Linked DNA regions of Mus musculus. The protein of the gene in region 2 interacts with the protein of the main gene of each other region in a biochemical or structural test. Links are inferred from orthologs where the notes say so. Each region holds a gene or a part of one and is shown on either strand. Other genes may lie near its edges. The genes, in order: Dvl1 and Fzd7.

What was found.
Region 1: the proteins of Fzd7 (region 2) and Dvl1 form a complex in vitro, tested with the Homo sapiens proteins (2 studies listed by BioGRID and IntAct, with this or other methods). The link is inferred for Mus musculus from reciprocal best matches to the Homo sapiens genes FZD7 and DVL1.

What each region holds. Positions count from the first base shown.
Region 1 is NC_000070.6:155,850,167-155,853,967, reverse strand, and holds part of Dvl1 (segment polarity protein dishevelled homolog DVL-1), read right to left. Parts: intron 551-3,801; coding exon 481-550; intron 332-480; coding exon 210-331; intron 1-209. UniProt on the Homo sapiens protein: Participates in Wnt signaling by binding to the cytoplasmic C-terminus of frizzled family members and transducing the Wnt signal to down-stream effectors. Plays a role both in canonical and non-canonical Wnt signaling.
Region 2 is NC_000067.6:59,480,481-59,484,997, forward strand, and holds the start of Fzd7 (frizzled-7 precursor), read left to right. Parts: upstream 1-1,666; 5' UTR 1,667-2,479; coding exon 2,480-4,198; 3' UTR 4,199-4,517. UniProt on the Homo sapiens protein: Receptor for Wnt proteins.

The DNA.
Region 1 (3,801 bases), on a different chromosome or scaffold from region 2:
GCAGGTGGAATTGGGCAGACCAGGTTGCCGACAGCCATTACCTCAAATGATTCCAGGTCCCCAAACCCCCAGGCAGGACCCTAGTTCTAGAAGGTGCCTCCCACACAACTGTAGGCCCCTGCTATGTTGTCAGCTTCACTCTTCCCAGGTGGGTCTTGGGTAGCAAGTATCTAGCAATGGCAGAGCTCTGCCCCCGCAAGGGGCCTTACTGGAAGGAGGGGGGCCTGGAGTCCCCAATGCCGCCTGTCCTCTCAAGGGGTGGGGGCAGGTCCGTGTGGCTGTCAGTGCCCTGGGACCCTGCATCCGAGTGAGCGCCCTCAGCCAGGACCAGCTGTGAAGGAAGAGTGAGGCCTTGGATGGCCATCTGCGTCAAGACCACCCCCACAGGCACCCCACTGCTGCCTACCTTTGTCCAGTTACTTTACGTCTCCCAGGGAGAGCCCACCTTCACCATTCTGCTGGGGCCACCCATAGACTCACCCAGGAAACCACCCGGCCATTGAAGCAGGGCAACTTGGCATTGTCATCGAAGATCTCCTCCTTCACCACCCTGTGGTCAAACAAAGCCCTATGTCACCTCACCTGGATCCATGAAGGACATTAAGAGACACTTTCTACTCTTGGACGTAGCAATGGAGCACCTGCTAGGCTGCAGATGTCACCACTGAGGTTTTACCTACCACATTCTCTTCTTAGGGACTCTGCTGCTCTCCGCCAATCCCAAAGCCCTGACCCTTAGCACTGGGGTAGAGAAATGTAGATAAATGTTCATGGAAGGACATCCTAGAACTCTTGTTCACGTCCAGAGTCAGCCTCCAGCCCTTGGTGAGTCAGACAAGGTTGAGGGTTCCTGGGAAAGTCCCCAGTTCTTCGGCTTCCTTGGCCCTGGGGTTTATATCAGGCCTGTCTCTAGCTTTGTATGCTTCCTCATGGGGACCCAAAAGCTCCCTCACCACAATATACGACACTTGGGGCTCCTTTGGGAACTCTTCTCAGCCTTCAAATTTTAGGGAGAGCAGCTCTACCTAGCCAGGTGCTTGGGACAGCCTATGGCTCTTCTCTGCCCCTCACCCCAAATCCCACCATGTACCACAAAAGCTCCAATTCCAACTCGTTCCAGAAGGGAGCCTGGCCTCCTAGGCCTGCATTCAGATTGGGCTGCAGAGGAACCGCATTTTGTGCACTCTGCTTCCATCAGGCCCACTGCCTCCTGTCCTTGTCTTCCCAGCACACACCCTGGGCCTCTCTGGAGCACTCACGGGCGCTCGTTAATATGATGAGCATCTCATGGTGCTCCAAGCCCTTGGGCTCCTGAAGTTCCCCCAGCCCAGAGAAGGCTGGACTTCCTGGTACAAGGACTGCCAACCCCTTCTATAGATGTGAGAGGGCCAGAAGGATACCAGCTCTTGCTGCCCTCAAAACCATCTACCCAGCCAGAAAGATAAAGTGGATCTCATGTGCAAGATCAGTCCCAACTATCAGGGAGTTTGCTTGGCTTCTATCTGAGGACCTGGAAGGGCATTTAGGGACAGAGCTAGCCAAGCCTTGGCTGTACCTATTGACCACAGCCATCTCTGTTTTGTCTTCATGCTGCTTCCCTGGTCAGATGGGCTAGAAAGGAGCTAAGCTCACCCAAGCAAGATACAAAAGGCAGGGAATGAGAACTGGGAAGGAAGCCAGAGCCTGGGGGCAGTGTTCACAAGGCACGGACAGCAGTCAGGACAGGCTTGAAGGGGCTCCTCAGGCCCTAGATTCTCCACTCCCTCACCTTCACCCTAGCTCTTAGCTCCGCCTAACATAGTGGGATTTTCCATACCTAAAACTTGAATTGAGTGGAGCTGGAAAACCAGGCTGGTCCTGGAAGTGCACCTGGCAGGAAGCAGGCTTGTGACTTAATGGGCCCAGTGCCAGGGGCAGGGCCACCTCTGCTTGCTGCTCCAGAACCAGTGGGCAACACCAGGTTGCAGGAAGCTCTAGCAGGGCAACATCCCATCCTCTCTAGGGAATAAGGCCTTTGTCCACCCACTTGCTAGAGACCTGGGGCTGAGGTAATGGCAGAGGCTGGACAGCCTGAAAGTGAAAGTGTCCCAGCCGCTTTCCTGACCTTACTGCTGTGCCCATGGGACCCCAACAGCGAACAGAATCACTTCTCAGGACTCCCTTAATATCTATTTCTCCCAATTTCAAGTTACAGCTCTGTGGCTTGCTCCATTTACAAGCCTGGCCCAAGGTAGCCAACAAGAGAGTCTGTCATCACAGGAAGACCTGACGCTGCTAAAAGCCCTGAGTAATCTACCCAGAAAAGAACCCTCACCTTATCCCCTAGCCTCGACCCCAAGTGGACTCACCAAAAGCCTTTCCCATTGGCACACCCAAGCTCCAACCCTCCCTGACTCACCCATGGGGAAACATATGAGCAATTCCTAGCACCCACAATAGGGCCTGCCTGGCTCCTCCAACAGGCACTGTGTCCCATTCCCAGCAGCCAGAGCCTACTCAGTCAGACCCTTAAGGTAATATGGCCAGCTTGCGGTCTTTGTGCCTCCCAAACCCTAGAAAGACATACCTCTATGGTTCAAAGGCCCTGCTTCTTAGCAGGGAAAGGCCCTTCCTCCCAGCCAGAGCAACACAAGTCCTGCTTTCTACCTAGGGGTCAGAGCAAGAAGACTGGCCAAAGGGAAAGGACAGTCCTGAGAGGATGGTGTTTGCCCCAGATCCTAGGGCTAACCCTGGCCCTTCCCCACCATTGGCTAGGCAAAGGGCAAACATCACAATACCCATAGTGGAAGCAGGAATGGTGGCCACAGGTATGTGATGCTACCCACAGCTGCTGGGCACTGTATAACAAGAACAGAATGAGGCACAACCAAACATCCCTACCACCCTGAGCCTTGTATGTCTATCCTCTCAAGAGGAAAGCTGACCTTAATGTGTCTCCACTGACTCTGCACGGTGACTCAGGACACTCCTGTGAGCATTTTGCCCCAACCTTAGAATTCCTGGAGAGATCCTTGTGGCCATTGGACTCTACCAGCCACCCCCAGTGATCCACCTCAAGGAGAAATCTGCTCTAAAGTAAGGCCTTTGGAGCCCTGCATAGCTTAGCCTAAAAGGACCCAGGGTTTCAGGAGATTACAGTAACACACAGACTACCTCTCTAGTGGCCCAGCCCTGAGATAGCCCCATTCCCATACACACAGAGCCAGAGACTGGCAGAGCAAGTAGGCACAGGTCATGGAGATATCTTGAGCTTCAAGGGGCTTCTGTATGCTACCAGGAGTGAGCATCCAATTCCTACCAAGCATTGTTGTGGACTGGACTCTTAGCCTAAGGAGTTTTACTACCCATGAACTTGAACTGGCAGGTGTGCACAGGCCCCAGACCATAGCTGGCCACTCTTCTACCAACTCATCCCATGGGGCATTGAGCCCCAGAACATAGAGTCCTTCCCCACAGCTCAGGGAATGCATGATAATTACCTAGACTCTCATAATAAATACTAGGGAGGCACAGAAAGGCTAAGTCACTGACCCCAGGCAGCTTGACCAGGGCACAGGGAGCCCTCAGAACATTTGCCAATGTACAGAGGACCCCAGATTCCAGGGCTCCTAGCCCTTACCCTTGCCTGCTTCCCTCTAGCTCACGTAGCTCTTTCTCAAGAGATGGGGCTGCAGCAACTGCCAGGCAATAAACTCGGTATCGCATCAGGCAGGCTGATATCAGCAGTATGTTCCCAGTAGCAGGAACCAAAAGCCAATGTACTCAGTCCTCTACCATAGACCTCCATTATCACCAGGCCCA
Region 2 (4,517 bases):
GAGCTTAGAAGGAAACTGGTCAGATGGAGTATGTCAACTGTCTGACACCACCTTGTTCCATGGAGCTGGGCTCTTCAGAAACATTAACAGGAGCACAAAAGATGAAGAACTCTAAAGTGGAAGGAAGGGGCTCAATGAACCTCTGAGGTAAAGTAAATAAAAGAATTAAAAGGAGCCCAGGTCATCGAGAAAAGGGAATCCAATTAATTAACTGTCTTAGATTTCAGAATCAACCTTTTCCTAGATGGAGAAACTGTATACCAGAGGGAGTTACTTCTGCCGGCATTCAACATTCGACCTATTCAAAATCTCCTCAAACCCCAGCACCCAAGTGAGACAGGCAGAAGGACTCAGCCAGGAAAAAAACGTTTAAAATGATTGCAGAGACAGATTCAACGATTCAACTTGTCACTTTCCTGCATGGGAATTCATAGTATTCATGATATTTCTTGCTGGCTCCTGTGAGAGGGCAGAGGCCCCTTAGTAACTTCTGACCGGTCGGGGCAATCAGACAACGCGCACGAGCGCCCAGTGCCTGGAGCGGGGTTAAGATTTGACCAAGAACAAAAGAAAGCTTGCCAATCAGAAAATGCTACCCCACAAGGAAAATAACCCCTCTTTGTGTCTCGAAAGCCCTTTAATTAGCAAATGCCCTGCTTTCTAACGCGCGTTAAAACATTTCTATGTAGATTCCAAATGGAAAGATCAAATGGTTGCTTCTGCAACGAAGAAGGGGTCCCTGAAGGCCACACACCTCAGAAAAAAAAAAGGAAAACGGGGCAACCGAAGGCGCTCTGTAAATCGTACAGAGTTCCGAGGCCCTCGGTCTCAGGTTACTTTCATAAGCATTCCCCCAGAGCTGCCTTGGAGTTAAAAAAAAAAAAAAAAAAAAAAAAGAGCCTCTTGGGCTCCCCAGGCTCCCAGCAGTATGTCCGGGAGGGGTGGCAGGCTCGTGTGTGCAGCGGATCCCCAGCTCTGGGCCTTCTCCTCCGAGGGTCTGCACTTCCTCCCGCCACAAGTCCGCCCCTCGGCCGACTCGGGTTTCTCCCTCCAGGATGCCCCCCTTTTTTGTAACTGGGGGAGGGAGAGGGAATTGTGCCTTCACGTGGTCGGTTGGGGTAGGGGAAGAAAAAACGATTCTTAGTCGCACCCCTTTCTCGACTCATACTGATGCTAACCAAAATTCTCCCGCCCTCGCCTGCCAGGCAAGGCTAACGTGACTCCGGGTCACGTCTTTCTGCCCTGGTGCTGTACTATTCTCAGCTTCTCCCCAAAGCCTTCGGCGAATGCCCCCTTTTGTTCGGAAATGTGTATTTTAGGGTACCCGGAAGAGGAACCAATCTTACAGGCAAGTTCCCTTTCTGGTGCGTTTTTTTCTCCCTTGAGCAAATTCTGGGTAAAAGTTTTTCCTAACTTTTCTCTCAGTCCCCCGCCCCTCCCCTCAGGAATCCGCCCAGAGCTCTTTAAGCACCGCCTTCCTTGTTTCCTCGGCCGCCCCTTCCGACTTCCACCCAATCGGAACAGGTCCACAGAGAAAACAAAGCGCGCTATTGGATGTCCAGAGGGCTCGGGGCCCGCCCCCGGAGTGGTTTGTGAATGGGGGGAGGGGAGGGGGCGGGGCGGCCCGCAGCCCTGCAAGCCCGACGCTTCTTCTAGCCACCAGTGCGGCTCCCAGGCGTTACTCCGCGCTCCTTCCCTGGCGGGCGGTGCTGGACGCGGAGAGTCGCGGGCTGGGACTGCGCGGGGCAGGAGAGGCCGGGTGCAGGCAGGCCGCGGGTGCAGGGGCCTCGGCGCTTCGGATTCCGTGCAACTCCGTTTCCAAAACCAGCTTGTCCAGCTCTTACCTCCCGAGCACCGATCAGACTCAAAGCGAGAACGAGCCATTTGACTTGAAACTTGGGGCCGACCTTCCTAGGACTGAAGGAGGCTCCAGAATCAGAAGAGGCGGCTGCAGTGGCCCGCGGGGCCTCAAGGAGAGAAGGCGGAGCAGCACCACCGAGGCGACGGCCGGGGCGAGCAGGCAGGGACGCAGGGCGCTGGCCTGGCGGAGGCCTGGCTCGGTTTAGGGGACGTGCGTATCGGCGTGCGCCCGGGGCTCGAGAAACTTGGGCAAACTTTGAAGGGTAACCGGAGAAGCTTGTTGCTCGTCGCCGCAGAGAAAGCCGCACCGTTACGTCTCGGCGGGGAGGGTAAGGCGACACCCCTTCCCTCGATCCCCCACTCCAGGCCCAGGAGTTTGAACCTCCGGCGGCTGCGTGAGTGCCACGCGGAGGCGGCTGCGGCGCCCCCTCGGCTGGCGGCCTCGCCCCCGCTGTGCAGGCACCCTAGCACCCTCGGCTCCGCGCCGCCCACGGCCCGGCCCCGGCGCCGGGAGGACTCTCATGCGCCGGGCGCGGCGGCGCCTCCCTGTATCCAAGCCTCTCCCCAGCGCCTCGTCTTTTTCCTCCAGCTGAGAACGCCGCTGCACTCGCGACCGGCGATGCGGGGCCCCGGCACGGCGGCGTCGCACTCGCCCCTGGGCCTCTGCGCCCTGGTGCTTGCTCTTCTGGGCGCGCTGCCCACGGACACCCGGGCTCAGCCATATCACGGCGAGAAAGGCATCTCGGTACCGGACCACGGCTTCTGCCAGCCCATCTCCATCCCGTTGTGCACGGATATCGCCTACAACCAGACCATCCTGCCCAACCTGCTGGGCCACACGAACCAAGAGGACGCGGGCCTCGAGGTGCACCAGTTCTACCCTCTGGTAAAGGTGCAGTGTTCTCCTGAGCTACGCTTCTTCTTATGCTCTATGTACGCACCCGTGTGCACCGTGCTCGACCAAGCCATTCCTCCGTGCCGTTCCTTGTGCGAGCGCGCCCGACAGGGCTGCGAGGCGCTCATGAACAAGTTCGGCTTCCAGTGGCCAGAGCGGTTGCGCTGCGAGAACTTCCCAGTGCACGGTGCCGGCGAGATCTGCGTGGGGCAGAACACGTCCGACGGCTCCGGGGGCGCGGGCGGCAGTCCCACCGCCTACCCTACTGCTCCCTACCTGCCAGACCCACCTTTCACTGCGATGTCCCCCTCAGATGGCAGAGGCCGCTTGTCTTTCCCCTTCTCGTGTCCGCGCCAGCTCAAGGTGCCCCCCTACCTGGGCTACCGCTTCCTAGGTGAGCGTGACTGCGGTGCCCCGTGTGAGCCGGGCCGTGCTAACGGCCTCATGTACTTTAAAGAAGAGGAGAGACGGTTCGCCCGCCTCTGGGTGGGTGTGTGGTCAGTGCTGTGCTGCGCCTCGACGCTCTTCACGGTGCTCACCTACCTAGTGGACATGCGTCGCTTCAGCTATCCAGAGCGACCCATCATCTTCCTGTCGGGTTGCTACTTCATGGTGGCAGTGGCGCACGTGGCAGGCTTCCTGCTAGAGGACCGTGCCGTGTGCGTGGAGCGCTTCTCGGACGATGGCTACCGCACGGTGGCGCAGGGCACCAAGAAGGAGGGCTGCACCATCCTCTTCATGGTGCTTTACTTCTTCGGTATGGCCAGCTCCATCTGGTGGGTCATTCTGTCCCTCACTTGGTTCCTGGCAGCTGGCATGAAGTGGGGCCACGAGGCCATCGAGGCCAACTCGCAGTACTTTCATCTGGCCGCGTGGGCTGTGCCAGCGGTCAAGACAATCACCATTTTGGCCATGGGCCAGGTGGATGGTGACCTACTCAGTGGAGTGTGCTACGTGGGCCTGTCTAGTGTGGATGCATTGCGGGGCTTCGTGCTGGCGCCCTTGTTCGTCTACCTCTTCATCGGGACGTCCTTCCTGTTGGCCGGCTTTGTGTCTCTCTTTCGCATCCGCACCATCATGAAGCACGACGGCACCAAGACAGAGAAGCTGGAGAAGCTGATGGTGCGCATCGGCGTCTTCAGCGTGCTCTACACGGTGCCGGCCACCATCGTGTTGGCCTGCTACTTTTATGAGCAGGCCTTCCGAGAGCACTGGGAACGCACCTGGCTCCTGCAGACTTGCAAGAGCTACGCTGTGCCCTGCCCTCCGGGCCACTTCTCTCCCATGAGCCCCGACTTTACAGTCTTCATGATCAAGTACCTGATGACCATGATCGTGGGCATCACTACGGGCTTCTGGATCTGGTCGGGCAAGACCCTGCAGTCATGGCGTCGCTTCTACCACAGACTCAGCCACAGCAGCAAGGGGGAAACTGCGGTATGAGCCCCGGTCCTTACCCACCCTTGCCTCTTCTACCCTTTTACAGGAGGAGAGGCATGGTAGGGAGAGAACTGCTGGGTGGGGGCTTGTTTCCGTAAGCTACCTGCCCCCTCCACTGAGCTTTAACCTGGAAGTGAGAAGTTATTTGGAGGTGAGAAGAGATTTGGGGCGAGAGATGGTTTTGAGAGGAGGCCCAGATGAAAAAAGGCAAAGGCAGTGGCCGAAAAGACTTCTGGCTAAGACTTGCAGGACGATGCTAACTGTGAAAGATATGGACCGGCTAGGGCCTAAGGGAAAGGTTGAGACCAGCAGAGAGAGAGAC